Diceros bicornis minor: one gene and its partners. The protein of the gene in region 1 purifies or fractionates together with the protein of each later gene. This does not show direct contact. Links are inferred from orthologs where the notes say so. Each region holds a gene or a part of one and is shown in the gene's direction. Other genes may lie near its edges. The genes, in order: SMURF1, STK38 and SMAD6.

Evidence for each region.
Region 2: the proteins of SMURF1 (region 1) and STK38 purify together in Homo sapiens (affinity purification with western blotting; 3 studies listed by BioGRID, with this or other methods). This does not show direct contact. The link is inferred for Diceros bicornis minor from reciprocal best matches to the Homo sapiens genes SMURF1 and STK38.
Region 3: the proteins of SMURF1 (region 1) and SMAD6 purify together in Homo sapiens (affinity purification with western blotting; 4 studies listed by BioGRID). This does not show direct contact. The link is inferred for Diceros bicornis minor from reciprocal best matches to the Homo sapiens genes SMURF1 and SMAD6.

The regions. Positions count from the first base shown.
Region 1 is NC_080765.1:7,551,447-7,561,436, forward strand, and holds the start of SMURF1 (E3 ubiquitin-protein ligase SMURF1), read left to right. Parts: upstream 1-5,050; 5' UTR 5,051-5,145; coding exon 5,146-5,230; intron 5,231-9,990. UniProt on the Homo sapiens protein: E3 ubiquitin-protein ligase that acts as a negative regulator of BMP signaling pathway. Mediates ubiquitination and degradation of SMAD1 and SMAD5, 2 receptor-regulated SMADs specific for the BMP pathway.
Region 2 is NC_080753.1:28,358,189-28,368,428, forward strand, and holds the start of STK38 (serine/threonine-protein kinase 38), read left to right. Parts: upstream 1-6,091; 5' UTR 6,092-6,347; intron 6,348-10,240. UniProt on the Homo sapiens protein: Serine/threonine-protein kinase that acts as a negative regulator of MAP3K1/2 signaling. Converts MAP3K2 from its phosphorylated form to its non-phosphorylated form and inhibits autophosphorylation of MAP3K2.
Region 3 is NC_080744.1:60,816,386-60,826,072, forward strand, and holds the start of SMAD6 (mothers against decapentaplegic homolog 6), read left to right. Parts: upstream 1-4,994; 5' UTR 4,995-6,865; coding exon 6,866-7,676; intron 7,677-9,687. UniProt on the Homo sapiens protein: Transforming growth factor-beta superfamily receptors signaling occurs through the Smad family of intracellular mediators. SMAD6 is an inhibitory Smad (i-Smad) that negatively regulates signaling downstream of type I transforming growth factor-beta.

The DNA.
Region 1 (9,990 bases):
TGATTACACACCTAAGGGTAGAATTGCTGGATCATGACTGATTTTTTTTTTTTTAATTTAAATGATCTTATGAATCCAGTGTTGGCCACATTTATTTGAAATTTTAATGTTGTGACAAATTATTTCATTCTTAATACTCAGTTGTCTTAATGAAGGAGCATAATTCGTTGAACTATGTGGTTTTAGTTTATGGATGGATCAAGTTCTTATCTCCATCACTAACTTTGCCAGGTCACCTTGAGCAAGTTATTCAATCTCCTTGGCTTCTATTTTTCTCGACTAAATTGAGCATAATGATTTTACCCTGATTTACATGATATGAATAATGATTCGCTAAGTAATTATACAAAATTTTATGATAAAACCATGCAAAATAATACCTTTAAATACTTCAGTGCTATAGAACCTAGCACTATAAAATCACAAATAGGAAAGAAATTATAATGAATTTGTTCTAAAAGATTGTGTATTATGGGTTTTTTCATAACCGTGCATGCGGATATTTGCAATGTGTTACCTTGCTAAACTTTGTCCTCACCTTTGGGTTTTCTGTCGACCTTTCTATGCATCAAATTAATAAGGCCTCATTTGTCAGCCCAGTAACTGAAGGAGAGAAAATGCTGAGAGAACTTTCTCTTGCTATTGTTTATTAATTATTACCTTTTTTCCTTGCTTATTTGTTTTGGGTCTGGTCTGATTATCAGGTTGTAGACTAGTTTGCTTAATTCTTTGTTGCTTTGTTGCCACCAAATCCCTCAATTTCCCCTTTACTCTCAGCAGTTACCACCTTGTTTAGGCTGGCTTCATCAGAAGAACACAGCTTCATTTATATGACCAGGTCTTCAAGAGTCAGGCGGGTGAGGACGTTTGGATTTATGTGGAGTTCTCCTCCCTGTTAACCCTGGATTATCTCCTGTGAATGGAGTTCATTCAAGTTCCTTCTAGGGTGACAATCAAATGTAATTTACTTAATGACAGGCTTTTGGGGTTGAAATTCATTTCTTTCCTGACAAAGTTGAGTTTTATTTTATACTGTATAACCTTAGGAAGATAGTCCAACCTTGAGAAGTCAATTTTTTTTTTTTTTGTGAGGAAGATCAGCCCTGAGCTAAGATCCATGCTAATCCTCCTCTTTTTGCTGAGGAAGACCAGCTCTGAGCTAACATCTCTTGCCAGTCCTCCTCCTTTTTTCCCCGCAGAACCCCAGTAGATAGTTGTATGTCATAGCTGCACATCCTTCTAGTTGCTGTATGTGGGATGCGGCCTCAGCATGGCCGGAGAAGCCGTGCGTTGGTGGGCGCCCGGGATCCGAACCGCAGCCGCCAGTAGCGCAGTGCACGCACTTAACCGCACTTAAGCCATGGGCCGGCCGAGAAGTCAATTTTAAGCAGTTGTTAAAAAAAAAAAAGGATGCTCATAGTTTACTTTCCTTAGAAGTCAAACCCTCAGGCATGGGAAGTACCCTGAGGACAAGCACCATTTTTGTTGTTGTTCTTCATGGAATCCTCCGAGTTTAGAACAGGGCTTTGCCTGTGGTGGGTGATCAGCAGATGTTTGTTAAATGGATGAATGGATTCACCACTCAGAAGCAGCAGCTTTTACTAACTGACCTTGGTTTGTCAAGTTATATGACCTTTTAATTTAAAGCCTCAGTTTTCTCATCAGGAAAATGAATATAATAACAGTATCTGTCTCATGGAGTTGTGGTGTTGAATAAATGCAATCATGATGTCAGATGCAGTATAGTGCCTAATGATCTTGTAAGCATTCAATAAATTTGAGCTGCTGTTATTAGTTATACTCAAGGAAATTAGATTGCATTTTTAAAGTTTCACAAAACAATGGCAAAGTTTCCAAACCTTCCAAACTGTTCACTGTGATTCCATTGATAGGCTTCATCCAATGTTTTTGGCAGATGTATTGGTCCAGCAGATGTATTGGTCGGATGGTTGCCTGGGAGATAGTCTGCTTCCAGGGTGGTTTCGGAAGTTCAAGTTGCACACTGCTCCTTAGTTCCTGGTGTACAATCACCATGTGCTCACTTTTCAGCAAATGAGATAGTAGACATCCAGGCTGAGGTAGAGTTGGAGGTAATAAACATTACCATTGCGTATGGCCTTTGTATGAGGACATTAGAAAGGAAAAATAAACGTGTTTAAGGAGACAACGTTGATAATTAACTGATCTAGGAACTGATTACTTTTGGAATATAACTTAAAAAATTTAGATAAAACTTTCTCTAATGAAAACTTGAATTTTCCTATGTTGTAAGGCAAAGAAATATGTGTCCACCTGTAAAATCACCCTGATTCTTCATGCCTTTGTTTCACTCTAACATGATTGGAAGACATTCCATTTGGTTTATTTAAGACAGAAACTGGAGACTGGAGATCTGGAGATGGAAATTATTCTAAAAGACAGAGACTTTAAATGAGATACTTTGCTTATCTCCCAAGCCAAGGGGTCTGGCCTGTAATACTTGGGAAGTAATCAAACAAAAGCCAACAGTAGCTTTGGAAATTGCTTCCTGGGAGGCCTGTCTTCTTTCTTCACCCAGGAAGAAGTCTTCCTAATGTAGATTCTGTGGGGCAAATCCACGGTGTCAAGAAAAGCAACATTTTAGGATTAAAAGTTAAAAATTAAATATGTCCCTCAGTTATAGACTTTCTTGGAGTGTAATGGCCTGATCAGTCCTTGGAAATCATCCCTTAAGGTGTAAAAATGACTGTGTTCATTAATGAGGGCTTTGTTCAAAAAAAAGTTCCAAATGCCCTCTGGACTTTATTACTTGTTTTTTGGCATGTACTTTTTTTTCTCCTGCATTGTATTACCTCTGTTTCGATGCAGGGGAACCTTTTTTTCCCTAGTGCCACCAAATGTCACTCATGATACCTTAAGAAATAGCATACATTCGTTCTGAAGAAGATCTGTCGGGTGGCGGTGTATGCAAAGCTGCCAGGCGCTGACTCCTGGTGGAGTATGGGGTGGCAGTCAGTCACACCACAGTGGAGGTTCTAGTAAAACTATCTCATTCATTCATTCAAGCACTTATTCATTTATTTCAACAAATATTTCTTGAGCATTGAATTTATGCCAGGCCCTGTGTTCCGTGCTAGGAATGTAATGGTTCAGAAGAATAGTCCCTGCCGTCTTGGTGCTTATGTTCTAGTGAGTAGTTAGACAGGAAAAAAATAAAATTTATTTATTCAGCAAACATTTTAAAGTAACCTCTGTGTGCCAGACACCATACCAAGCTCTGGATACAGTGGTGAATACCAAAGACACAGTCCTGTTCCAGTGGACGTTTTTGTATGGGACAGGCAGACATGAAGCAGCATATCAATAAATAGAGGATTTAATTTCAAACTCTGATAACAGCTGTGATGCTGCTATGATAGTGTAATGTGGGATGGGGGTAGAAGTGGGGATGGCTGCTGAATCTTTCTGGATCTGAATAATTTCACCAATAAAGTGGAAAAAAGTGACACCTGCCCTGTATGTCCACTTGCCTCATCCTGTAAGAATAGGTAGAGAATGATGTATATAAAAGAGCTTCTGAGACTCTAAAGTCACATGAATGGTGTTAGTGTTTGCTGCTGGTGGGGACCGAAGGGGACAGGCAGAGGAGCAAGCATGTCCCCTCATCTCAGAGCTGAGCTCTGCCTCATGGGGGGAGGAGAGTTTCTGCCACAGCAGCCCTGCCTCGCGGGTGCTTCAAGGTTTGGGGCTATGAGCTGAACCCTGTCACACTTCTGAGGTCAAATAATTCACACAGTTCTGTCCTTTATTTTCTAATTTAATACATTGATAGAAGATGAAGCTGTAACACTCATATTTTAAGCAAGGAGGTGTTTGGAAAACCTGTCTCAAGCCTGTCAGTTTACCAGAGTCACCCGCACCTCCAGAGCCAATAGGGACGGCTGGTGATTGCTAAAACGTGTTTTGTTAACTTAGACAATTTTACCTGCAAAGAAGAAATCATTTTATCATCTAATGGTGTCTGAATAGTGGAAATGTGTTAGTGTGTTATGTGTATAAACTTATTGAGAAGGATTGGGAAAAGTTGTTTATTTCATTAAGCAGGTAATGGAACAGAGTTCAATTCTGTATGGATTTGAAGATTTTGGCATTTAAAGTCTGCTGATGTAACTCAAATGTGATTGTTTTTTCCTCTTAATGAAAATTTGAGGATTTCCTAAATTTGTATGAGAAGTGACGGATGAGTGACTCTGGTACAGGGCCTAGAAAATGACATGCTAGTGAAGCACTCTGATCAGGAAACCTTACTCTTTGCCATGAGCAGGGATTCTGTTTTTACTCTTTTTTGTAGCTTAAAGGATTTTTCCCCAAGGAGATAAAAAGAGTGAGTTTTAGACTTAAGTTAGATGAGATAGACAACTAATAATATACTTTAAATGCATATTATGTGCTGGTGGCTATCCTAGGTGGTAAATTATATTTTCTAATAAATGAAAATTTTACGTAGATGTTTTAAGTTAGTGAGATACCTTAATTTTCTATATTTTTATCACTGTTACTCTCTGGCTTGCTTTTTGTTTTCTGTTCATCATAATCCACGTTACGTGCCTGTTGTGTGGCCAGCACCACATGAAGCCCGTGTCTAAAGGGGTGGAAGGTGGGACTTCAGAGGAACTTAGCTGGGGGCAAAGCCACCCGTATGAAAAGTGATTGAGCACTCAGCTCTCTGGCTCTGACAGTAAACAGGAGTAAAGCGGCAACAGATTGCTGCTGGTTAGAGTAGTGATTCCCGGAGCAGTCAAAACATTATGTAAATAAGGCTATCCACATAAAATTGCCAACTTTTTATTTTGCCAAGTCACTGTTGAAACTATTACCATTTTTTGTTACCTCATTTCGTTAAAGATAGGATATTTCAACATGAAAAAAATAGACATAACACTGGGACAAAGGACAGGTGTTTAAAATTAATTAGTTCAGTTTTATGAAAACCCACTATATTGTTCTCACTGTTTTCATTTTGGCACTAGTGAAAATGTTATCACAGAGTGACGTTTGGGAGACGCTGGCCTGAATGGGGCTTCACTGAGAAAGTGGGCCTCGCCTGGCTCGAGAAGATAGAGCACAGGAAGAGAGAGGGCTTGTCCGGTGGATTGAGGAGCAGGAATGACCGCCCAGCGGGAGCACTGGTTGGGGCGGATGGAAGCGGGGAATGAACCCAACTACGCTTTGAAGAATGTGGGAAATAAAGGTGATACTAGAGAATGGGACACTTTAAAACTCAGGGAGAAACAGATTTGCAGTAAATACAAGACAGAGCCATTGGAGTCTTTTGAGCCTCAGAACAGGAAAATGGCATTTCAGAAGACTAATCTGGTGGCTAAGTGTAATGTGAATGGAGAGGCTTGAGTTAGGAAGGGCACGCTGCTCTTAGATTAAGCTGTGAGTAGGTGAAGCCGAGACTAGGAGAGTGAGTACAAAAGCAGGGGAAGGACGAATTCAAGAGACAGTTGGAAGAAAGAGAAGGTAGGATGTGGTGATACATATAAATATAAGAGGAGGGAGGAATAAAAATTACAGCCAAAGTTTCTAGCCTTGGAGAATAGAAAAATAGTGTGAAGTATTGACACAAATTAGAAAATTTCTTGTATGTCAACTATTTCTCATTAAAACCGGGGGAAAAAACCCCAAAAATGGAAAATTTCTTAAGATGATATAATAAAGTACTAAATTTGTGTTGATGTAGCTTATCCTGGGAGTGGGTGAAACCACAAATAGTATTTTGGGGACCCTATGCTTTTGTCAGCGACCTGGTAAAGAAGCTTGTCTTACTAATTGAATTTACCTCAAGTTAGCAAAACACTTCCCTTCCGTGTATTTTCAGATGCTAAGTGAACATCATGTAATTTACTCTTACTTTATCCCCAACATGAGGAAACTATGGTACGTGATTAGGAAATTATAGGATGTAAGAGACATGATTTGTCCAAAGTAGAGAGCACTTGAGAGTTGGAGTTGAAGCAGCCATGCCTGGTCTACACCGAAAAAATAAGCTTCATTTTTTGTAAAAGTAAATGTCTCTTTTGTTCATTGTGGTATCCCCAGAAACTCACTCATAATTGGTGTATCACATACTTGTTTAAAAATAAGTGGTATATCTAGACAGAGTGGGATTTTATGCTGTGTAATAAATTATCTTTTATCATTATATCTCCTAGAGTAGACAAAGAGAATTCTATCTCAAGATCACAAAATTATTCTAGTGGGAGAAATTAATATGCCTTTAACTAAAGTAGATTCAGTATGATCCTAAAGGATCTTTGCACAAAATTGAGGCAAAATTCTCTTTATGCTGACACTATTGAGACCTTCTCCACTTTGTGATGTAACCAAATTCCGCTGGAGTGAGCCTTAAATTAAAACATTGCCAGTCTTGTAAATATGAACAAAGATTAATCTTTCTGAGATGTTACCAGAATTCTTCCAGTCAGAAGCAGTCCAGCACCAGCACCTCAGAAAAACCAGGGCCCAGAGCTGGCGGATAATCTTGGAGGCTGGGGAGGTGAGGTTGGTTGGGGGCAGAGCATGACAGGTCTGGAGTTGTGCAATGGGAAGCGACTGTGGAATTTTTTAAAAGGAAAGAGACATGAGGAGATTTAAATCTTGAACAGATTACTTGGTGATAGCTAGTGTTGGGAGCTTGAACAAGGGTGGAGATGGTTTGAGAGAGATTGAGAAGTATAAGGATGACACACAGATTTCTGGCTTGTGCAGTTGATGGGTGTTGCTGGTGGTCTCTGAAGTAATGAATCTGCGGAGAGGACCAGGGTTTGAGGCGGAGTGGGAAGATTTTAACTTCAGTTTTGGACACTTTGAATTTAATATGAGAGCATTTGAGACATTCAAAGCTGTGAGAAAGAAAAGGCAAGTGAAGGAAAGAGAACATCACAGGCCCATTTGAAGAGAGTTGAAAAAGACGGCTGATTTTAAATTAACTTAAGAAAATTGATGGCTTTCCTATATCCAAATAACATTTAGAAAATGCAGCGAGAGGAACCCTCATGAGATTCATGATAGTGACAAAATCCAGAACACTTAAGAGTAAACCCAGTTAGAAATGTGGAAAACTGTAATGAAATACTTTAAAACCTCACTTAATGTTTAAAGACAGGCATTAAAGAACTTAATAAATGGATGATTAACTACATTCAAGAATGGGAATACTCAATATTGTAAAGAGGTAAATTCCTCTTAAATTTATTTATGAGTTAATTTTTTTAACTGGCTCAAAATGATTCTATAGTTCAATGGGAAAAGTAAGTATGTGAGACTATCCAGGAAAATGCTGAACAAAGAGTAATGATGAATTTCAGGGGCATGCATTTTCTGTTTATACATTTCCAAGTTTTCATTTTTTATAAGTAATGTATTAATTTTGTAATTAGAGGAACAAGAAGTAAAACACCAGCAGGAGCTGTAATAAATTATGATCTATCCACAAAATAGACTGAAGAGTGTGTGTGTATATGTGAATATATATGTACACATATATTGCCATTGGAAAGGAAGGGTGTAAAGATTATGCTGAAGAGGAACTATTACTACCAACTATACTGAAATAAAGAGGATTATCAGGGAATGCTGTAAACAACTGTATGCCAACAAATTGATAACTTAGGTGAAATTGACAAATTTTTATTTTATTTATTTTTTAAAATATTTTATTCTTCTTGTTGCAATTGTAAATGGGATTGTCTTCTTGAGTTCTCTTTCTGTTAGTTCGTCGTTGGTATATAGAAATGCAACTGATTTCTGTAAGTTGATTTTGTACCCTGCCACTTGGCTGTAGTTGTTGATTATTTCTAATATTTTTCCAATGGATTCTTTAGGGTTTTCTATATATAAGATCATGTCGTCTACAAACAGCGAGAGTTTCACTTCTTCGTTGCCTATTTGGATTCCTTTTATTCCTTTTTCTTGCCTAATTGCTCTGGCCAGAACCTCCAGTACTTAGTTGAATAAGAGTGATGAGAGTGGACACCCTAGTCTTGTCCCTGTTTTCATCTTTCTTCACTTTTATTTTTTTTAATTAATTAATTAATTATTTCCCCCAAAGCCCCAGTAGATAGTTGTATGTCATAGCTGCACATCCTTCTAGTTGCTGTATGTGGGACACAGCCTCAGCGTGGCCGGAGAAGCGGCGCGTCAGTGCACACCCGGGATCCGAACCTGGGCCGCCAGCAGCGGAGCACACGCACCTAACCGCTAAGCCACGGGGCTGGCCCAAAATTGACAAATTTTTAGAAAGCCAAACTGCCAAAGCTGGTTCAAGAAGAAATGGAAAATCTGAATAGACCTATAAAAAGTAAAGAGATTGGATTAGTAATTGAAAACACTTCCTGCAAAGAAAAGCCCAGGCCTAGATGGCTTACTGGTGAATTCTGCTAAATGTTAAAGAAGAATGTGTACCAATTCTTCACAAACTCTTCCAAAAAAAAAAAAAAAATAGAACAAGAAGGAACACTTGCCAACTCATTTTATGAGGTCAATATTGCCCTGATACAAAAAAAGACAACACAGAAAAGGAAAACTACAGACCAGTATCCCTTATGAATATAACCGTGACAAAATATTAGCAAACTGAATACAGCAGCACATTAAAAGGATACCTAAGTAGAATTTATCTCAGAATGCAGGGTTGGTTTAACATCTGAAAATCAATTAATGTGCTACATCATATCAATAGATAAAGGACAATCATCTCAATAGGTGCAGAAAAAGCATTTGACAAAAGCTAACACCCCTTCATGATAAAAACACGCGGCAAACCAGGATCAGAAGGAAACTTTCCCAACCTAATAAAGGGCATCTACAAAAAACCCACAGCTAACATCATACTCAATAGTTGAAAGACTGAATGCTTTCCCCCTAAGATCAGAAACAAGACAAGGATGCCCACACCTTCTGTTGTATAGGAGATCTTGGGCAGTTAGGCAAGAAAAAGAAAGAAAAGGCATCCAGATTGGAAAGGAAGAAGTAAAACTCTCTCTATTTGCAGATGATATAATCTTATATATAGAAAATTCAAAAGAATACAAAAAAAGATATTAAAGCTAATAAATGTGGGCTGGCCCTGTGGCTTAGCGGTTAAGCGCGCGCGCTCTGCTGCTGGCGGCCCGGGGTTCGGATCCCGGGCACGCACCGACGCACTGCTTCTCCGGCCATGCTGAGGCCGCGTCCCACATACAGCAACTAGAAGGATGTGCAACTATGATGTACAACTATCTACTGGGGCTTTGGGGAGAAAAAGGGAAAAAAAAAAACGGAGGAGGATTGGCAATAGATGTTAGCTCAGAGCCGGTCTTCCTCAGCAAAAAGAGGAGGATTAGCATGGATGTTAGCTCAGGGCTGATCTTCCTCACAAAAAAAAAAAAAAAAGCTAATAAATGAGTTCAACAAAGTTGCAAGACACAAGTTGAATATACAAAAATCAGTTGTACTTCTGTACACTAGAAATGGACAACCTGAAAATGAAATTGAGAAAACAATTCCATTTGCAATAGCATCAAAAAGAATAAAATAAGTTTAATAAAAGAAGTACAAACCTTATACTCTGAAAATTACAAAACCAAGTTAAAACTAAAGAAGACCTAAATAAATAGGAGGATACCTCATGTCCATGGATTAGAAGATTTAACATTGTTAAGATGACAGTAGTCCCCAAATTCACCTACAGATTTGGTGAAATCCCTATCAAAATCCTAGGTGGCTGTTTTGCAGAAATTGACAGGCTGATCCTAAAATTCATATAACAATTTAATACATCCAGAATAGCTAAAACAATCTTGAAAAAGAACAAAGTGGAGGGCTGATGCTTCCCAATTTCAAAACTTACTGCAAAACTATGGTAATTACTATCGTCTAAATGTTTGTGTCCCCCCCCAAAATTCATACATTGAAATCCTAACCCCCCAAAGGTGGTGATATTAGTAGGTGGGGCCTGTGGGAGAC
Region 2 (10,240 bases), on another chromosome or scaffold:
AGAAACTCCCTTGTTTTACAGGAAGTTTCCCATCTAAGCACGGTGAGGTCAGTGGATATCTTATCCCTTTCACTTCTGGCTTTCAGATTTATTTTTGCTTTGGAGAACTTGTTTTTGTCACTCTTTTTGCTCAGAAATTATAGTTCTGTTTCTCTCCTTGCTCCATAAGGTTTGTAGAATCTCTTCCCTCCCAAACAGGTAAATGGGAAAAGTTTATGCATTGTTTGGGTCCTGGACCTGCCACGCTCACATCCTTCATTAGTTTTTGAGAATTTTCACCCTCAACTCCTAAAGAAACTCTGACTCATCATGACACACACACACATACACATACAGTCATTTGGAAACAATTAATTTAAAATCTGTATTTCTTAAGACTTCTCAATTATTTTGGCCCCATCATTAAGCATTCAGTTTAAAGAAAATAAAAATCTCTAAGAAAGCAAAATCATATGATCAAAGCTATCATTGTATTATGTGTTGGCATGTCTGTAAGTCTGAAACCAAGAAATAATATGAAACGCTACTTTTGCATTTAGTGCTTACTTTACTTCGAGGTTTTCAGGTTTGTAGCCTAAGCACTAGGGTAAAAATGACCAGTCAGACAGCTGTTGCAGGCCTGGTTAATTACACGAATGCTTCCTCGAAGGACTGGAGCTGCAAATAAATTCTCTTTCTCCTGGCCAGGCTTGGTTATTTGCAGTTACCACAGAACATATGCTGTCTGAGCTCAGCACTGTACCTCCTGCTCTCCTAGGACAGTGGGAAAGAAACGGAGATGAGAAGGCAGCTGGATGGGGTAGAGGAGGTGCCCACTGACTCTCCCATTCACTTTATCTACCCTAGCACAGTTCCATGATGGGTTGTCTTAATTCACTTGGGAAGTATTTACCGAAAACTATGGTTGATATTTACAGATTACGCGGGAGGGGGACACTAAAGAGAAAAAAAAACATGGTGGGAGAAAGATTACTTGGGAGGATGGAGGGTGTAATGTTTAATTTTATGTGTCAACTTAGCTAGGCTATGGTGCCCAGTGTGGTCAAACACTATTCTAGATGTTGTTGTGAAGGTATATATTAGATAAGGTTAACATTTATAGGGGCCAGCCCAGTGGCATAGTGGTTAAGTTCGTGTGCTCCACTTAGGCGGCCCAGGGTCCGGTGTGGGGCAGACCTACACACCGCTCATCAAGCCACGCTGTGGCAGCATCCCACATACAAAATAGAGGAAGACTGCCACAGATGCTAGCTCAGGGCCAATCTTGCTCACCAAAAAACCCCAAAAAAACAAAAAAAACAAAATGCAAGAAAAACCCATTTATAGTCACTTGACTTTAGGTTAAGCAAATGACCCTCCATGATGTGGGTGGGCCTCATCCAGTCGGTTGAAGGCCTTAAGAGCAAAGTCTGAAGTGTCCCAAGGAAGAAGGAATTCTACCTCAAGATGACAACATAGAAACCCTGAGTTTCCAGCCTGCTAGCCTGCCCTACAGATTTGGGACTTGCTAGTTCCCACAAGCATGAGAGCCAGTTCCTTAAAACAAATCCATCTCTTTTTCTCTCTCTCCTATTGCTACTGTTTCTCTGGAGAACCCTCACTAATACCGAGGGCTCCAGGAAGGAAGATCCTAGAGAAAACAACGGAGCTGACAGACTGTGAGTTTGACCATAATCTTAGAAAAGTTTTCCAGTTTTGGCAGAGAGCTTGCAGACAAATTAGTGATAGATATTTTAAAGGGAAGGGAAACACTGAGGCAATTGTTAACTCCAGGGAAAACAAAAAATGGTACAAGGAGATAGGGTAATTATTCTGCCCTGCTTGGCTCAGTTGTAAACACCGAATACTGATTTAAGAAGAATGGTAGTGGTAGAAGAAGTTATGGGGAAGTTGTGGTGTGAGTTAAAATCTCATCTTCATTGAGAAAATTAAAAAATATCTAAAACTTAAGACATAGCAACAATACTTAGAACAAGGAGGTAAATAGCAGAAGAAACAACTAAAAGCGCTGAAAGCAGCTGTTTCTGCTGAGTTAGTCCGGTGGGAGTGGGTGGGGCAGGGAATTGCTGTTTATCGTTATAAGTCTCATAGATCATCTGGTCTCTTTCAAGTCCATACGTGTATTACTTTGATAAAAATAAAAACTAAATTAAAAGTTATGTGGGTCCAATGTGGAAAATTTGGAAAGTACAGAAAAGTATAAGGAAGAAAATAATAACTATTCATAATTCTTCCACTCCGAGAAAGCAAGTATGCACATTTTAGAGGAACAGAATTATTAAATAAATTTGTTGAGATTAAATTGTCAGAGCTTGAGGATTTAAAAATATCACAACTTAGATATAAATGAACAAATACTAACAGTGTAATTAACTATATGGGTAATAGTGTAGGTATAATTATATACAGTATAATCATATACAGTATGATCCCATATGTGTTTATATGTGTGTTAGAAAGTAGTCTGGAGGGATACTCACCAAAATGTCAGTTGGTAGTGACCAGGGCTGGGACTAGGGTGGGCAGTAAGGTGCCTGGACACACAATGTGAGGAGGTGCTTACCCTCAGGGTCATGCAAGTGCAGGGGCTGCACCTGAGCTTGAGAGCCTCCTTCAATGCTGTGCCCTAGGTGCCTCACGTGCCTCACCCGAGTCTGGCCCTGGTAGGGACCTTGGGCTGCTGGATCATGGGCACTTTCCCCTTCTTATTCTTCCCTTAGATATATGTTCAAGTTGCTTGCTACTCCAAGTCTGGTACGTGCACCAGCGGCATTAGCATCACCTGGGAGCTTGTTGGACATGCAGAATCTCAGCTCTGCTCAGACCTTCTCAGTCAGAATCTGTAGTTTAACTGAATCCCAGGGGATTTGTGTGCACGCTAAAATTTGAGAAGCACTGGGCTAGCAGGCACCAAGCACAGTTCCTATCCTCTTCTGGGAGGAATATTCAGAGGCAACTGATGTCATCGCGTCCAATGGGTGGGGCACACACTGCTGGGGGTAAGATGCCTGTCCTTTAGAGGACTGTGGTCTTTGCTGAGAGGCTGATCTTCAGCTGGTGAAGCACCTGCAGGTCAGCCTGATGGAGAAGCAGCAGGTGGTTCCCTTGGGACAAAGAACAATTTGGGGGCCAGCGCCAGTGGCCTAGGGGTTAAGTTGGGCAGGCTTTGCTTCGGCAGCCTGGATTTAAAGAGAAGGGAAAGGCTAGTGGGTCCGAAACTGGGGAAAAGAGCAGACAAAAAAGTGCTAATATTCAAATCAAGTAACTCAAGTCCCAGGGGGATAAAGAATAACTTGGTATACTGTAAGGTTGTTTTTTCCAAGAGTTTTTAGAGAAATCTGTTATAAAACTGAGAAGCTTGGATTAGGTGAATTATATTGTGACTATAATTACATGAGGGCAGAAATAATATACAATAGAAAATATAAAGGGATTGACTCTGTTCAGTGTTCCCATTAATCAGAAGTCAATTAATAAGGGTTCTGCTATATGTCAGTTCTCCATTTAGATTAGTAAATCAGATTAAAAGAGAACAGCAAAGTAATATATACTACTATGGCAGACATTATTAACTGGATTAACACAATATTCATTCCCAACCCCTTTCTTCTTTGCCTGCTTTCATTACAGAGCATAAAAAAGCTGAGTACTTGCTTTCCCAAGAAGGGTAGCCATGTGATACAATTCTGGCCAATGAGCCCTCTGTGTAGGTCTCTAGAAACTGTATGAAGCAGCCACCACTCTTTGGAACAGATTCAGAGGGATCTTTTCAGGGCCTGGAGTAGGGTGAGGTGAGCAAGACACTCGCCTTGGTACAAGATTTATGAGGGTGTAAAAAAACTCAGTAATCAAGATAATATTTAAAAAAATAAAAATTAATGCAAAAAAATCCATGATGAACAAAATGGCAACATTTAAAATAAAGGCAGCATCTGACAACACCAGTATTAGAGTGAGGCAAATGAGGCTGAGTGCTGCAAGTACAGGGTCAGATCACCCTAGTTTCCAACTCACAGTCTGGGGTGGGTACAAGTGGCACTTAGGTTTTGTGCCCACACCCTAGGTGCAAGGGAGTCTAGGAGAGAGGATATCTGGAATCAGCAGTTTTGATAGTGAGAAGTGGGAAATGCATGAAAGGGATTCAGGAGCTAGGTGGTCAAAAAGAATGACAAATACCCACTACACTTTTTGGAGTCATGGTAAAATGTCATCACCTGGATCCATGTAGGGAGAGCAGCATATTCTGGCTGGGTTATTTTGAGGACAACTTTAGTATTTATTAGAGTTAGGGTACAGATAAATTAATATAGGACTATGGATAGCAGAGAATGAAATCCCTCTTCTGAAACTGGGAAGGCTCCAAGGAAAACATAAGGTTTGATTTGGGCTTTAGAGGAAGGAAAGGGGAAAAGCAGAAAGAACACTGAATTCGCAGTCAGAAAGTGGGGTTCCCTACTTCCCTACTTGGCTTAATAGCTGTGAGAATTCAGGCAAGTCACGTTGCTTCTCTCAGTGTTAGTTACTTTATGTGTAAAATCTCATCCTATGCAACCTGCCAAAGAGTTGTGAGGATCAACTGAGATTAAATGAGTGAATGCAGTTTATAAACGGAAAAGCACTATGCAAACATCTAGCACTGTTATTAAGTCATTAAGGATGGGAAGGAGTTGGACACAAAAGACATTGGGGGAGAACGGCCTCTAGGCAGAGAGAATGAAAGGTGAAGTGGTTTTCGCATGAGGCTAGACAAAAGGAAACTGGGCTTTGAAGTCTAAAAAGATGAAAGCAGTCAAGGAAGACCTATACTTTTAAGATATTAAGGAAACAAAGCCTGGGACCCCAAGCTTGAAGGATCAAACTAAGCCCTATGGTCTTACAAACAGTTACACAAGAGAGTGAGGCACGGTAATATCACAAAACACCCTAATGAATGACTTGCACACATGCTTCTTTCGCACCCTGGATGGCCTCTTTGAAGTCAGGCAGGGACCATGCCTTACTCAGCTTTGTTTCCAGGAGCCTGACAATTTCTGGTCAAGAGCACTCTGCTCCATTCTCAAGAAATGAGTGAGTGTCCAAAGGCTTGGGACCTCTTTACCCCAAGAGGTGGTACAGGCTAAGCGGTTGGGTAGCCTTGAAAAGCAGGTTCCTCTGGGCACACTGGGACCCCCTCCTGGTAGCCCACGTCCAAACCTATGAGAGCTCGCCCGATCCCAGGGTAGAGCGTGTTAATCCTGACTCAAGGAATAGTACGTGGGGCCAAGGGCTCCTGCAGACCTGTTACTACGACGGTCGAAAATCAGGGGAAGGTGGGCGATGAGGACTATATAGGTGATAAAATTTCATAGAACTACAGATGAGCGCGAGCACGCACCGACACGCACAAATGCATGCATGCCAAACTGGTTGACCTGAGTAAGGTTTGTAATTCAGGTAATTGTATTGGATGAGTTAGTTGTCTTGTGCCGGGGTCAATTTCCTGGTTTTGATGATGTAGTATAGTTATGTAAGATGTTGAGGGAAGCTGGGTGGGTGACGGGTATATGGGACCTCTTTATGCTAATTTTACAACTTTTTTTTTTTTTTTTCTTTTGTGAGGAGATCAGCCCTGAGCTAACATCCGCCAATCCTCCTCTTTTTTTGCTGAGGAAGACGGCCCTGGGCTAACATCGGTGCCCATCTTCCTCCACTTTATATGGGACGCCGCCACAGCATGGCTTGCCAAGCAGTGCGTCGGTGCGCGCCCGGGATCCGAACCAGCGAACCCCGGGCCGCCGCAGCGGAGCGCACGCACCCAACCGCTTGCGCCACCGGGCCGGCCCTAATTTTACAACTTTTTGTGAATCTATAACTATTTCGAAATAAAAAGTGAACAACAACAACAAAACCGTAAGGGAAACTCCGCTGACCCCTCCCTACTCGGAGCCCGCCGAACACCTCACACTTCTGCCCTCGGCGACGCCTCTCCTGTTGGGGTAGGGCGGGGAGGGGTGTGGTGGGGCGGGGCTGCGCACGCGCAGTCCTGAAACCTCTGCCGCGTCGCCGGGAAGCCACGCTTGCGCAGTCGCGGCCCCCGGCCGCCGCGCCAGCCTCTCTCCGTGGCGGGGGACTCGGCTGCCTTGGCCCCTGCGCGCTGCCGTCTTTTCCGGCAGTTGGGGCGCTTCCTGTTGTCCTTGCCCGCAACGGCTCCTTGGCCCCTACCTCAAAGACCTTCACGGGTCCCCGCGCATTTTCTGGAGAACTGACTGCTGCCGCCGGAGCTTCGCCTGTCCCCGCTTCGCGACCGCTGGCCGGGCCGGCGTCTGAGGCTGTCCGCGGCCCCCAGCCCTGCCTCCCCCGGGGCTCTGGTGAGTGGCTTGCTGCCGCTGTTTTCTGTCCATCCCCGGTTTTTTCCTTCATCTCCTCTTCCCCCGACTCTTTTTGGGGCTCTACCCTCCCGCCGGCGCCCTCTTTCCTCTTTCCCCACCCTCTCGGTCCTTCGGCCGCTCTCTTGCTCTCCTGACAGTCCCCCTCGTCCCGGTTTCCAGAGGCTTCTTGTCGGGTCTCTGCCCGTTTCCCCCGTCCCAGGCTCCCCACCCTGGCCTTTCCCTTTCTTCGTGTGCAGCTGGGGCGGGGAGCCAGGCTCTTTTCTCCTGTACATGTTGTCAGCTTTGTCTGCTCGCTGCCACCGCTCGGTCCCCTCCGGGATCTCGGTCACTACCAATTTCCATCTCCTGTTCTTTTTTCTGGGGTCTGAGAACCTGAGAGCTGTTGTGTGAGGCAGAGATGTCGAAAACGAGGTGTGGTGCTTTTGAGTCTGCCCTCTTCCCCATGGTTAGTCTTAGGATACGGGGTTTCAGATCATCTTAAAAATCACAGGAGAATTTGGTGAGGACTCGTCTTTTAAGAAGAGAGTGGGAAAGGAAAGTCGGTAAGGACTTAGAGGAAAGTCCGTGTCGGAAAGTGTACAGAACGGCTAGTAGAACAGATTTACCAGTTGCACTTTGAATTGACTGCAAGACACGAAGAGAAGCTTTTGAAATGTACAGAGGAAGGTTGGAGTAAAGTAGACTCTGTGCTTTCTCTCGCTTTCAGCTCACCTTGGTTCTGAATTAGAATTAACCAGGCAGTAGATGTGGTTTCCCTAAACATAAAACCACCGCCACCACAGTAACAAGGCTCCACTCTCCACTCCAGACATTAGGTATCAGCTTCCTCATTAGAGGATGGGAACTTTGTCCTCCAACTCTGTATAGAAAACCGTTCCATGTCCCAGCCCTATCTCCATCACACATACATGTTCTTAACTCCTAGTCATGGACATAAAAAACGAGTGTTTTCCTAGTAAATCTTTTATAAGGTGCTTACTAAGTACATAGCATTGTGTGTAAGATGGGGGAAGGATATTAAAAAGAAGTTTAAGACAGGGTGCTTGCTTTCCAGTGGCTTACGGTTCAGTAGGAAAAGTTAAATATGTGACTCTTAAGGAATAGTCTTAGCTCCAGTGTTGAATTGGATTCATCATTGTCCAAATGAAAGGTATTGGATTGTCGGTCACAAAGAAGTAAAGATTTGGTGAGAGAAGGGGGTGTTTATGGAGATAACAGAGTACCATTGTAAATCCGGTCAACCAGGCATAACTATCTGTATTGAATAAAACTGGTTTTCATTTGATCTCCTTTTATGTTTGCAGTGCATACCCCGACTTATAAGGATCATATTCTTTTTGTTACATTTTTAAACTTTTAAGAATTTCTCACCTACCTGTTATTCCCTAATTCTGCAGAGTTGGAGAATGAAACAAATAGATGAAGGGCCTCCAATGGCCTGTAGGTCAGGGCATGAAGGCTTGAATTAGCAAAAGCAGGAGGGAAAGCCTTGTTTTATTAAAAGTACTTGGTTGAGGGCCAGCCCCGTGGCTTAGTGGTTAAGTGCGCGCGCTCCGCTACTGGCGGCCCAGTTCGGATCCCAGGCGTGCACCCATGCACCGCTTCTCCAGCCATGCTGAGGCCACGTCCCACATACAGCAACTAGAAGGGATGTGCAACTATGACATACAACTATCTACTGGGGCTTTGGGGGAAAAAAAGGAGGAGGATTGGCAATAGATGTTAGCTCAGAGCCGGTCTTCCTCAGCAAAAAGAGGAGGATTAGCATGGATGTTAGCTCAGGGCTGATCTTCCTCACACACACACAAAAAAGTACTTGGTTAACCCAGTAAGCCTATAAATTGCTATAGGGCAACAGTAGTTGTATCTTTTGATGAAAGGTTATTAGAATTAGGCTAACCCTTTTATGAGTGGAGGAGGAGGAGATTTTGAAGAAAAGTTAAAGGGAAGGACAGTGCAACCTTTGCCATTACGTTAGAAACTACGTGAAGATTGAAAACCATTCTGCTGGAAAATTTGTTGGCCTACTATATGAGCATCTTTGGGTGCACTTAATCTCCTGTTGATCTTTTTAAAAGTTTAGGAAGTCATGCCAGTGACTTAAATGGGTCAAAACTTTTACCCCCAAGTTTTTATATACCCATCAATATAAATATAGTTTTGTTCTTTAGCTTTGTTGACGACTGAAAAATCATTAACTTGCTCAACTTACATTTATTAACCACCTATTATATGGAAGGCCCTGTTTGTCTTAGGCTTAAACACTCTCTAGTTGTTGTATTTTTGTGTTGAAATAATTTCAGTTGTTAAAATGTAACTGCATATATATATATAAAGGGTCTCCAGAAATTTTCAGACAAGGGAGGAGTACAAAGCGCTCACTTGCTTCAGACTTGTTTTTAAATCTGGTTTTAAAATTTCTTCACCAAACTTAGAGTGCATGTGGTTTTCATTGTGGGTGGAGTGGGTACAGGCTGACAAATAAGGAACCACACCCAAACTTTATAAACCAAACAGAGGTTTTTAAAAAAATTCTTCTACTGATATCCTGAAAACATTTGAGTTTGCTTTGTATTAGAAACTTCCCCATAATAAATAACATTTCATAGTTATGTAGAGCTGGATACAATGTCTCGAATTTGTGATTACTGATCATTTTGGCACATCATGAAACAAAATGTTTGACTCTGAAGTAAAGCCTTGATTTTGAATCTCTGCTCTGAAGGGATTATTCTTTATGTGATTTTTCCCTTGAGTATCTTTTTATAAAATCGCTTAATGTTAAGTCTTTTTTCTTAATAATAAGTTTGCACATTCCTTAAAAGCTTTAGTTTAATCTACAAAACAATTTAGAAAACTGCTAAGTATTAAGGAGAGAATCTTAAGAAAACTTTTCATAAAATGCACTATCTTTGAAAATGGCCCTTTGCCCCTTCTAATTTTTACTCAGCTTTATATTCAGATGAAAAGAAAGACATAAAGACAGGTCATGTGGGAGGAAGGCGTGATAAGGGTAAAATATTGAGCATTATTGCTAATGCTGGAGCAGGTCAAGGTTGGTGAACAATCTGGCCAAGTGTGACAGTATAGGTTGATAAAAATACCTGGGGGAAAATGCGATTTAAATTTAGGGGGGAAAAAAATTCTATGAGCTATCTAAACCTTGTTGGTATTGGTTTTATCATATGTAAAACTGGGAGGTTAGGGTCCCTTGTTTTTAAGGTATCTTCCATCACTAAAATTATGATTCAGGTTTTTTCTTTGTAATATTGTTTCTGTCATAGGTCTTTGTTTTAACTTGTAAATTCAAATAGCAAACATTTATCAAATACCATAAGCTGTGTCAGAGTACATAGATACCTATAGATGAGTATTTTATTTTTTTACTTTTATTTATTTTTTAAATTTAATTAAATTTTCTTTTTTTTTTTTTTTTGTGAGGAAGAGTCGCCCTGAGCTAACATCTGTTGCCAGTCTTCCTCTTCTTTTTACTTGAGGAAGATTAGCCCTGAGCTGTCATCTGTGCCAGTCCTCCTCTATTTTATATGTGGGATGAGGCCTCAGCATGGCTGACGAGTGGTGTAGGTCCACAATGGGGGTCCGAACCTGGGCCACTGAAGCAGAGTGTGCTGAACTTAACCACTGCGCCATGGGGCCGGTCTAGATGAGCATTATAGAGTCATGGATTTTTTTTTTTAACTGTAGAAACTGTAAACTTAAAAGTTATTAATACCTTGATGGTAATAGTACATGCTCATAGAAGAAAATATAGAAGATGTGGAAAAGCATGAAAAAGAATAAAAAAATGATTTATTGTATTCTCACTCCCTAGTGTTAAGCCACTAATAACATTTTGATATATATCTTTCTAA
Region 3 (9,687 bases), on another chromosome or scaffold:
CTGGTACTGGAATCTCCCCAGGCCCCCGTCTCTGCCCCGTTCTGCTCTGCACTCGTGAAGGGACCCCCATCCCTGCTCCGGGAGGGGAGTTTCTCTCGGTTCCCTCACACAGCCCACCTTCCTTCTCCAGGTCACTTCCTCGACGAGCCGCTGAAGCCTAGAGCTTGCTGGGACTTGACTCATTTAACTGCCCCCTGGGTCAGGTAGGTCCATTTTATAGATGAGGAAATTGAGTCTCCCAGGGGTTAAACAGTTTGCAAGGTTGTTGTGAGTTTAGCGGCTTAACCTGGTAACGACTGACTCCACACTCATTTCGCTGATAACAGCTACCATTTACTGAATGCTTGTGAGGTGTCAGACTCTGTGCTAAGCACTTTAATCTTCAAAACAACCTCCCAATATGATTATTACCAGCGAGGTCTCAGGCTCTCCATCTGTAATCTGCAAGCTGGGAATAATAATAGCACCTTACTGGGGGTTATTGTAGGAGGTAAAGGAAATTGCCCAAGGCCACAGAGTAAGAGGTGGCTGAACAGGATTTGAACTCAGGTCTGTTGGTTCTACCATAGTAACGGTTCAGAACCGTGACTGTCCTGTGCCAGCACAGGCCACCTGGAGAGGCAAGAGTAAAACACTGTGGTGTGTCCGGGTGGTCTCCAGGATAATCTCGGGTGACGCACAAACATATTTTATGTATTTATTTTCAAGTGATAAATGTAACTTGCACATTTGTGACTCCATGGATATTACTGCTATGACAAGGCGAAACACAAGTGGTGAATTGATTTAAAAAATTAAGTAAATGTGTCAATAACATGTGTACACTGTTCAGATGTTCTCTCATCCTCTCAAATCTGTACCAGCAGTTCATGCTGGTTCTGTCTTCAAATGCGTCCAGGATCCGACCACTTCTCCCCAAGACAGCATGGCCCGTCCTGGACCACCGCAGCAGGCTCCCCCTGTGCCCCGCTTCCACCCTGCCCCTTGCAGTCTGTTCACATGGCTGTTAGAGGGAGCCTGTGCAAACAGAGGCAGATCATGGCCCAAACCCGCTCAGAACCTCCAGGGGCTCCCAGATCCCTCCAAGGACAAGCCACAGACCCTGCACGACCCTGCATGACCCTACAATCTGCCCCCCCAAGTATTTCTCCCACCGCATCACCTCTTTGATGGTCCTGGAACATGCGAGACATGCTCCCAGCTCAGGACCCTTGGTGCCTGGAACATTCTTCCCCAAGATAGTGTCACAGCGCTTCCCGCCCCACCACCAAGACTTTGCTCCAATGTCACCTCCCAAGGGAAGCGTTCTCTGACCGCTTTCTCTGAACCACACCTACCTCTCCTGACATTCGTTTCTCCTCTTCTCTGCTTTATTTGTGTCCTTGGCACCTTTACATTATAATACGCTGTATATCTGATTATTTTGTTTATGGTCTGTCTGTCCTCCCACGAGACTCCTTGAGCTCAGGACTTTTTGTGTTTTGCTTAAGTACAGGATCCCCAGCACCTGGAACACAGCCTGGCACCCAATAGGAGCTCAACAAGTACGTGTTGAATGAATGACCAGGAAGTTCCATTCCTGCACGTGTGCATTTTTTCAAGGGAGAGAGGGTCCACAGCATTCATCAAAGCCTCGGAAGGGTTGTCTGTTACTCAAGGGTGCCCAACTCCCCCATTTGGGGCCATGTTGGCCAAGTAGATCTACTTTCCAAAGGGGCAGACAATACTACTCAGCCAGTCAGGCCTGTAGTTGTTCTCCCTGAGTTAAGAAGTGGGGCCTTGGTTTATCCATCAGTCTCCTGTGAAGTGGATGAGGATGAATCGGTCTCCCTGCCAATCCATCTGACTATAGCAAGTGGTGGCCCAGACTCCTTCTGTGATGCCTCTGTTCATAAGCAGTGGTCCCTACAGCCCACCCCTTCCCACCACCAAGAAGCAAGCTCTGCCTTGTACGATTTCTGTCGTTTCATGCCTTGTGTCTTCCCAGCTAATGTGGAAACTTCCTAAGGGCAAAGGACCCTGTTTTCTTTTCTAGGACCAGGTGTTAAGAAGATGAACACTCACCTCAAGCAGCCCTGCGTTCAAGTCCCAACTCTGCCACCTATTGGCTGTGTGACCAGAGACAAATTACTTAGCCTCTCTGTTTCCTTCTCTAAAAACAGGTCTATTAAGAATAAAAACTTCTTCACTGTGTTGTTGGGGGATTTGACGAGATAGTGCATATAAGTTTCAGTATGGGATGATGATGAGTATAGAGCTTGGCGAAGTGAGGGATTTAATTCAACCACATCACAAATATTCATTGAGTGCTTACTATGTGACAGGCGTTGTGCTAGGGACTGGGGAGAAGAAACAGGGCAGGTGCTGCCTTGTATGAATTAGCTTCTTCAATGGCACAGAGTGGCATCAAATGGCCTGTTTCCGACTCTCTCAGTGCTGCTGTGGGTGGCCTGTGCCTGACAGTTTCACCATCTCTACCCAAGTGGGGCTTACACTCCAGAGGCAGAGGAGGATGGACGAGGAACTGTATGGTTATGAGTTGTGAGAAGTGCTGTAAAGAGAAGGCACAGGGTACTTTGGGGGAATACTAGATAACGGGTCGGGGGCAGGTTTGAATCTGATGGGTTAGAGTTTGTGAGTAATGTGGCTGCAGAGACCTGAGGAGCAGCAGCTGGGACTCCAGCTCCCTCCTCTCCTATGCCCCCCAGGGAACTGGGGCTTGTTCTCCAGAGGGGATCTAGGAGGGTGCCCTTAGGCTGTAGCTCTGTGGCCCTGCCCCGCTGGGCCCTGCCGCACACACCCTCTAGTGGTCACAACGCAGGCCAGCGCGAGGCTGGATGGGCCTCGGAGTCTAAGGACAGAGGGACTGTCACTGCCTTTCCCTTCCAGATCCTGTCTCCACCTGGAAGCTCTAAGGACAGAGGGACTGTGACTGCCTTTCCCTTCCAGACCCTGTCTCCACTTGGAGGCAGTCTTCCTGTAATGGGAGATGACTGGGCCCTCATGACATTTCATTTTGGTAATCACCACGAGCATGATTCCTACTCCCACTTCACAGATGAGAACCCCAAGGCTTAGTGAGCTGAGGGAGGTAAAGGAGCGTCAGAACCAAACTCAGGCCTACCAGACTCTCATTTTGGTGCTCTTCAGACGTCATCCAGCGGGCACCTAATGGCACCCCACCTCTAATGCCACACCTCCGGGTGAATAAGGGCCGCAGCAAACCTTTGTCCCAGTTACTGCCCGGGGAAGAAGGCAGCCCTCCCAGGAATGTCACTGCTTCAGTCCCTCCTTGGCCTGAGGGCCCGACATCCCTCAGGGCGCTCCCCCAGAAAGGGATGCCACTGTACCTCAGGGAGGTCTGGGGGATGGAAGGGGAAGGAGCCAGTGTTCACATATTTGCGCCAGGGGTAGGTGCTGGGCATTTGTGCAAGCCCTGAGGGGTAACCCATGTCCTGCCTGCTGCCCCATTCCCTTTGCTCCCATTACACACACATACCCCTGCCCCCAGCCAAACTGCCTGGGTTCAAACCCCGCCTCTGCCACTAACTAAAAGCTTGTTCAAGTTACTTAATGTCTTTGTGCCTCAGTGTCTTTTTCTGCAAAATGGTAGTAACAACCATGCCCATCCCCAAAGTGTTATGTGCAGTCTGGGCCTCGCCCCATAACACTTTGATTCAGCGGGTCCAATGCACCACATTTTGAAAATCACTGCCCTGAGAGTGTGCTGTGAAACACAGACCCACACACCACTTTCTAGCTGTCGGGGATGAGCACACATACTGGTTTATGCCCCTCTGGTTTCAGCATTTTAGCACTCTCAACGCTATTTTCATTTCAATGGCAAATTAAATGGGCAAGTTCCTGTGCCTCAGTTTCCTCATCTGTAAAATGGAGATGATAATAGTCCCTATCAGGGTTGTTGTGAGAATTCAATGACTGAATCCTTGTAATGCTTGCCCACAGTAACGACTCAATAAGCACGAGCTATTATTATTGTAATCCACAGCCAAACCAGCAAATACCCCAATAAAAAAAAATATTGTACTTTACACTGAGTTCCTCCTTGTATTTTAAGATGCATTAATTTTCCCGGGGGCGAGAAGTCACTGAAAGGGGCCACAAGAGGGTCTTCTGGGTGCTAGTTACACAGGTGTTGTATTCACTTGTGAAAATGCACCCTGCTGTTCACTTGCGATTCCTGCCTAAAATGCACTCTCTCCTAGGCTCTTCATGGTTCTGTGAAGAACGCAGGGCAGGCGTCATGATCCCCATTTTTCAAACAAGAAACTGAGGCTGAGACAACTATTTTGATTTGGCCCAAGCAGTAGGGGATGCGGGTGAGGAAGCTTCTCCGGCCGGTTCTCCATTCGGGAGAGCAACCACGTCTCACAGAGAGCGCGGCGCGAACAGTACCTGACTCCAGGTAAACCTCAACAAATGGTTCTGAGTTCTCCCTGCACAGACCGCCCTTCACCCAGCGCACACCCAGCCTCCAGCCCGGCGGGGAACTCGCACCGCCGCACGCTCACCAGGCCAGCCCCACACGTGGGCACCCCCGAGGGAGACCCGCGCGCTGGCGCCCCCGCGGCCCCCGCAGGGGAATGGCGCCCAGCCCGGGGCCAATGAAAGCAGAGGAATTTCTTTCATTCAGTGCGGGGCCGGGCTCCTGCCCGGAAAGGGGCGGGGCGCCGCGCCGGGGGCGGGGCCGCCGCGCGCGGGGAGGGGGCGGGGCCCGCCCCGCGGCCCGGCCAATCGGCGCCGCGCCCTGGGGGGGAGGGGGGACCAGGCCTTTTTTCCCTCCGCGCGGGACCAATCCCGACTTTACAAGCTTGAACTTTTGCCACCCTCGGACGAGCGAGCGCGCCCGAGGAGGTACCCCGCCGCGCCGGCTCCAGGGGCAGGAGCGGCCTTAACCCTTTCCGCGCCGGGCGGCCAGCTGCCGCCGCCGGGTCCCCGAGCCAGCCCCGGACCCGGCGGGCCAGGGCCCCGCCTCCCAATCCACCCCCATTTCCGTGGTGAAACGTCGCTGGGGGAAGCACTACCGCTCCCCACATCTCTCTCCACGATGCACAGAATAAAATGGGGAAGGGGGAGGAGGGAGCACCCGGCCTCGAGGGGGCCTGGGACGGCTAGAGGACCGCCTAGCTCCGAGGGAGGCCCGTGGCGACCGTGAGGACCCCGAGAGAAGGAGACACTCCCCGCCTCTACCCCACCCTCTGCAGGTCCCTACCTCGGGCCAGCCTGGAGCCCCTGTGCGCGAAGCGTCCCAGGCCCCCCCGTCTGGGCAGCAGAGCGACCCCTGACTATGCGCAGGGGGTGTGGAGACCTCGTGTCATCACGGAAGATCCTGCTACCCCAACAAATCAGTTGCTCCCTGCTTCCAAGAGACGCACGCCAGGAAGGCACAACACGCACACCGATTTTTATTAGCCTTCCCTGGGACGGAGGTTTGGACCAACTCTAAAGTGCAACGTGTGTTTGCAAGTTTGTGCACAAGCCAGAGAGGCAAAGCGCCCCGTTCGCGTCCGAGTCTCAGTGGGTCCACCGAGCCCTTGCGCCGCCTGCCCAGGGTTTGTGTAACTGTTTGTGTGTGCGCGCGTGTGCGTGTGCTAGCTCGTATCCCTGCCCGCGGCGCAACGCGCGCCAGAGAGCAGGCTGTGGGCGCTGTCAGGCCCGGGGCGGGGGTGCCGGGGCGAGCGTGGGGCGGGGGCCCGGGCTCCGCCCGCCCCAGGAGCCGGCCCCTCGGAGCCTCGGGCCCTGCAATGGGGCGTGTTCTCCTTTAAGAGTTAAGAAACTTGAAACCTTGTTTGCGCAACAATCAGCGCCGCGGAGCCGCCAAAGTGTCTAGACTGGCATATGATGGGAGGCAGCCAATGACTCCGCGGCGCTCCTCCGGGGGCCCTCAGTGTGCGTTTGAGGAGAACAAAAAAGAGAGAGAGAGCCGAGCAGGGGAGCGAGCGAGGGAGCCAAGCCGAGAGAAAGAGCCGCCGGGCGCTGCTTCGCCAGACCTCGCCGGGACCGCGGGGCCACCGGGAGGCACTTTTTGTGGAGGGGGGAGGGGGACGACCTCTGCAGCCGCGGCGCCCGGGGCGTCCGAGCGCAGCGTGGGGCGGGCTGCGACCTCTGCTTCGTTGGATTGCATTTTTAATTAAGGATTCCTAGCAGCTCTTTGGGATTTTTACAGTTTCCACTCATGTGTTGACACTCGCGTTCAGGAGAAACTCGCTCCAAGAGCATCTAGCGCCTGGGACCTGAGACGGAGTTGGCTTTTCATGCATGCAATTCCAGGGATTTTGGTTTTGTTTGGGGTTTCTTTTTCTTTCTTTCCTTTTTTATTTTTCTTTTTGCAGGGAGTAAGAAGGAAGCTGAGGGTATCAACAAGCCTGCCTCTCGGATCCTGCAGGAAAAGCCCATGTAGTTAAGCGCCTGGGTTTTAAAGGCAGGGCTTCCCAGACACAGGGGGTTCAGCGCGAGCGCTTTGTGCTCATGGACCAGCCGCGCAACTTTTGAAGGCTCGCCGGCCCATGCGGGGTCTTTCTGGCGGCGCGCCGCTTGCAGTCTCCTTACAGCGCCGGTGCTGGAGTTGCTGAGCAGCCCGGCCGCCGGGGTCCATGTAGCCGCTGGCCCGGCGCGGACTGCGGCTCGGCGTGCGCGTGTTCCCCGCCGGCCCGCCGCGGCGAGCTCCCTCATGTTGCAGCCCCGCGGCGCCCCTTCGACGACAGGCTGTGCGCGGTCTGCACGGCGCCCGGCAACGGAGCTTCATGTGGGGCTGCGGCCCGCGTAGCCGGCGCCTCGCTGAGGGAACGGACCCTCGGTAACCGGAGACCGCCTCCCCCCCACCCCCGGCGCCAAAGGATATCGTATGTTCAGGTCCAAACGCTCGGGGCTGGTGCGGCGACTTTGGCGAAGTCGTGTGGTCCCCGACCGGGAGGAAGGTGGCGGCGGCGGCGTCGGCGACGAGGATGGGAGCTTGGGCAGCCGAGCTGAGCCGGCCCCGCGGGCACGAGAAGGCGGAGGCTGCGGCCGCTCCGAAGTCCGCCCGGTAGCCCCGCGGCGGCCCCGGGACGCGGTGGGACAGCGAGGCGCCCAGGGCGCAGGGAGGCGCCGGCGCGCAGGGGGTCCCCCGAGGCCCATGTCGGAGCCTGGGGCCGGCGCTGGGTGCTCCCCGCTGGACGTGGCGGAGCCGGGAGGCCCGGGCTGGCTGCCCGAAAGTGACTGTGAGACGGTGACTTGCTGCCTCTTCTCCGAAAGGGACGCCCCTGGCGCGCCCCGGGACGCCGGCGACCCCCTGGCTCGGGCTGCCCTGGAGCCGGCGGGCGGCGGGCGGAGTCGCGAAGCCCGCTCGCGGCTGCTGCTGCTCGAGCAGGAACTCAAGACGGTCACGTACTCGCTGCTGAAGCGGCTCAAGGAGCGCTCGCTGGACACGCTGCTGGAGGCGGTGGAGTCCCGCGGCGGCGTGCCGGGCGGCTGCGTGCTGGTGCCGCGCGCCGACCTCCGCCTGGGCGGCCAGCCCGCGCCGCCGCAGCTGCTGCTCGGCCGCCTCTTCCGCTGGCCCGACCTGCAGCACGCCGTGGAGCTGAAGCCCCTGTGCGGCTGCCACAGCTTCGCCGCCGCCGCCGATGGCCCCACCGTGTGCTGCAACCCCTACCACTTCAGCCGGCTCTGCGGGCCAGGTGAGCGGGCCCCCTGCGTGGCTGCCTTTCTGTCCGTGACACCTCGGGCGGGCGGAGCTGCGGGTGCTCCCCCGGGTGCCCCTGGAGCGTGGGAGTTCCCAGTGAAGGCGCCTCACCCTGAGAGGAAAGCCAGGGAGTGGGTATCTGGGCACACACATCAAATGGCAACTTCATCATAGGGCTCCCGCAAACTTAAAAAGGTACGCGTTGGAGTTTTGTCTGCGCAGCTTCAGGGACGTAATGTAAGTTCCAAACTCATAGACAGTGAAAGGGGAGGGCAGGCCTAGGAGAAGCCAAAGACAGGAGTGCCCCATCCACCCCCTCGCATTTACCCCTAGTCTGTGCCCAGGCCTGTATCATTTGTGTGCATATGCCTATACCATTCGTGTGCATATGTGTATACCATTCGTGTGCATATGCCTATAGCTTCGTTATACTTTCTTGTACCCAAGGAGATGTACATCGTAAAATTGGACGTAGACAGTTCATGGCTAGAGTCAGTAGTGTTCGTTGTCCCACTTGTTCCTTTATACATTTCGGAGCAAAGCTTTTGCAGGGTATCCCTTCTCAGAGTGGAGACCTCTCTCTTGCTCTGATTGCACCCAACATCCCTTGGGTGTCCAGTGCCAGGGCCCTCCATCATCATCATTCTCAATTCTATGTCCAGGTTTTGTATAGGGTGAGGGTCCTGGAGGCGTCTGTGAGTAGGCGAGGAAGCCAGGTATTTTATTACCTCTGAGAACTGCCCTCCTTCTTTGTTCTCTTGCTGGGATTTCCTGCACACACCCCACCTCCAGATCTTACCTAAACAGGCCCTGGGTGCTGGAGCAGACGTGAGGACAGGCGGGGGCTCCTGGCAGGCCAGAAGCTTGCAGTGCCCTCTGCTCTGACTTCTGCGCTGCAGGGAAGCACACTTTTTAGTTCGTAGCATCTTAGGGGTTGTATGCATCTTAGGTGGCATTGGGGGTTATGCAGGGGTGGGACTGTCAGAGAGTTACAGGCTGTGGGGCCTGGGAGGTCCCTGAGTTCCTCCTGTCTGGCCCCTCTGGAGAGTCAGCTCTCAGCGGGGCGGCACCTAGCGGGTCAGATCACAGGTCTTGTGACTCCCGGTGTGCAAGGGGAGGGTGGGCCTAGGAGCGTGGGTTTGTCTCAGGTGTCTTGTTTGTGTGTGGGGTAGTGGCTGGAGGAGAAAGGAGGATGCCTCAGTGCTCAGTGGTGGTTCCTGATGGTGCGTGGGGAGACGCAGCACTGATCTGGCCGCCCTGCTCCCCACATGGTCGCTCCAGACCCCTTTCAGGGGCGTTTGGCAATCCCTGACCTGTGGCCCACGGTGGGCATTTTGTGCCCCTTATTCCTCTTCCTGACAGCTTCCCCTGGAAGTGCCTTCTTCCCCTCTGCCACCCAGTCTCCTCCCTGCCTCTGGGGAAGGGGGCCCTATTGTGGTTGCCCTGTCTCTGGTAATTTTTGTTTAATGAGAGATAACAGGTGGGGCCCACTCTGCTGTTTCAAAGGCCCTGGCAGGTATTTTCTCTCTCACCAGTTCAGTCTGCCAGCAAATGTTTGTTGAGCACTTACTCTGTCAGGCAGCGTGCTGGGTGCTGCAGAGTGAGGTGGAATATGGGTAGGATCCATGCCCTCAAGAAACATAATCTTGCATGGAGATGGGGGAGATGGGCCAGGTCAGTGGGTCTGAACATCAGAGGTGGTGGGGTGTGTACATATGTAACAGGATCTCCTCCAGGAGGTCCGTAGCTCTAACCTGGAGCGGGGCCCCGGAGGATAGGTAAGAGGAGGTGGCTGTTGAGGAGGAGGAGGAGAGGGCCAGCTGAAAGTCCAAGTGCCAGGCAAGCTGAGGTGTGTGGGTGGGAGGGGGTGGAGTGAAAAAGTTGGAGACAAGGGACAGGACCCACCCCTGCCCCTACCCCTTGGGTTAGAAGTCAGCTTGGGGATTGGTTTGAGTTTGGTGGACTTGGGCAGTTACGGGTTGAGGGGCACACTGCAGTGGAACCAT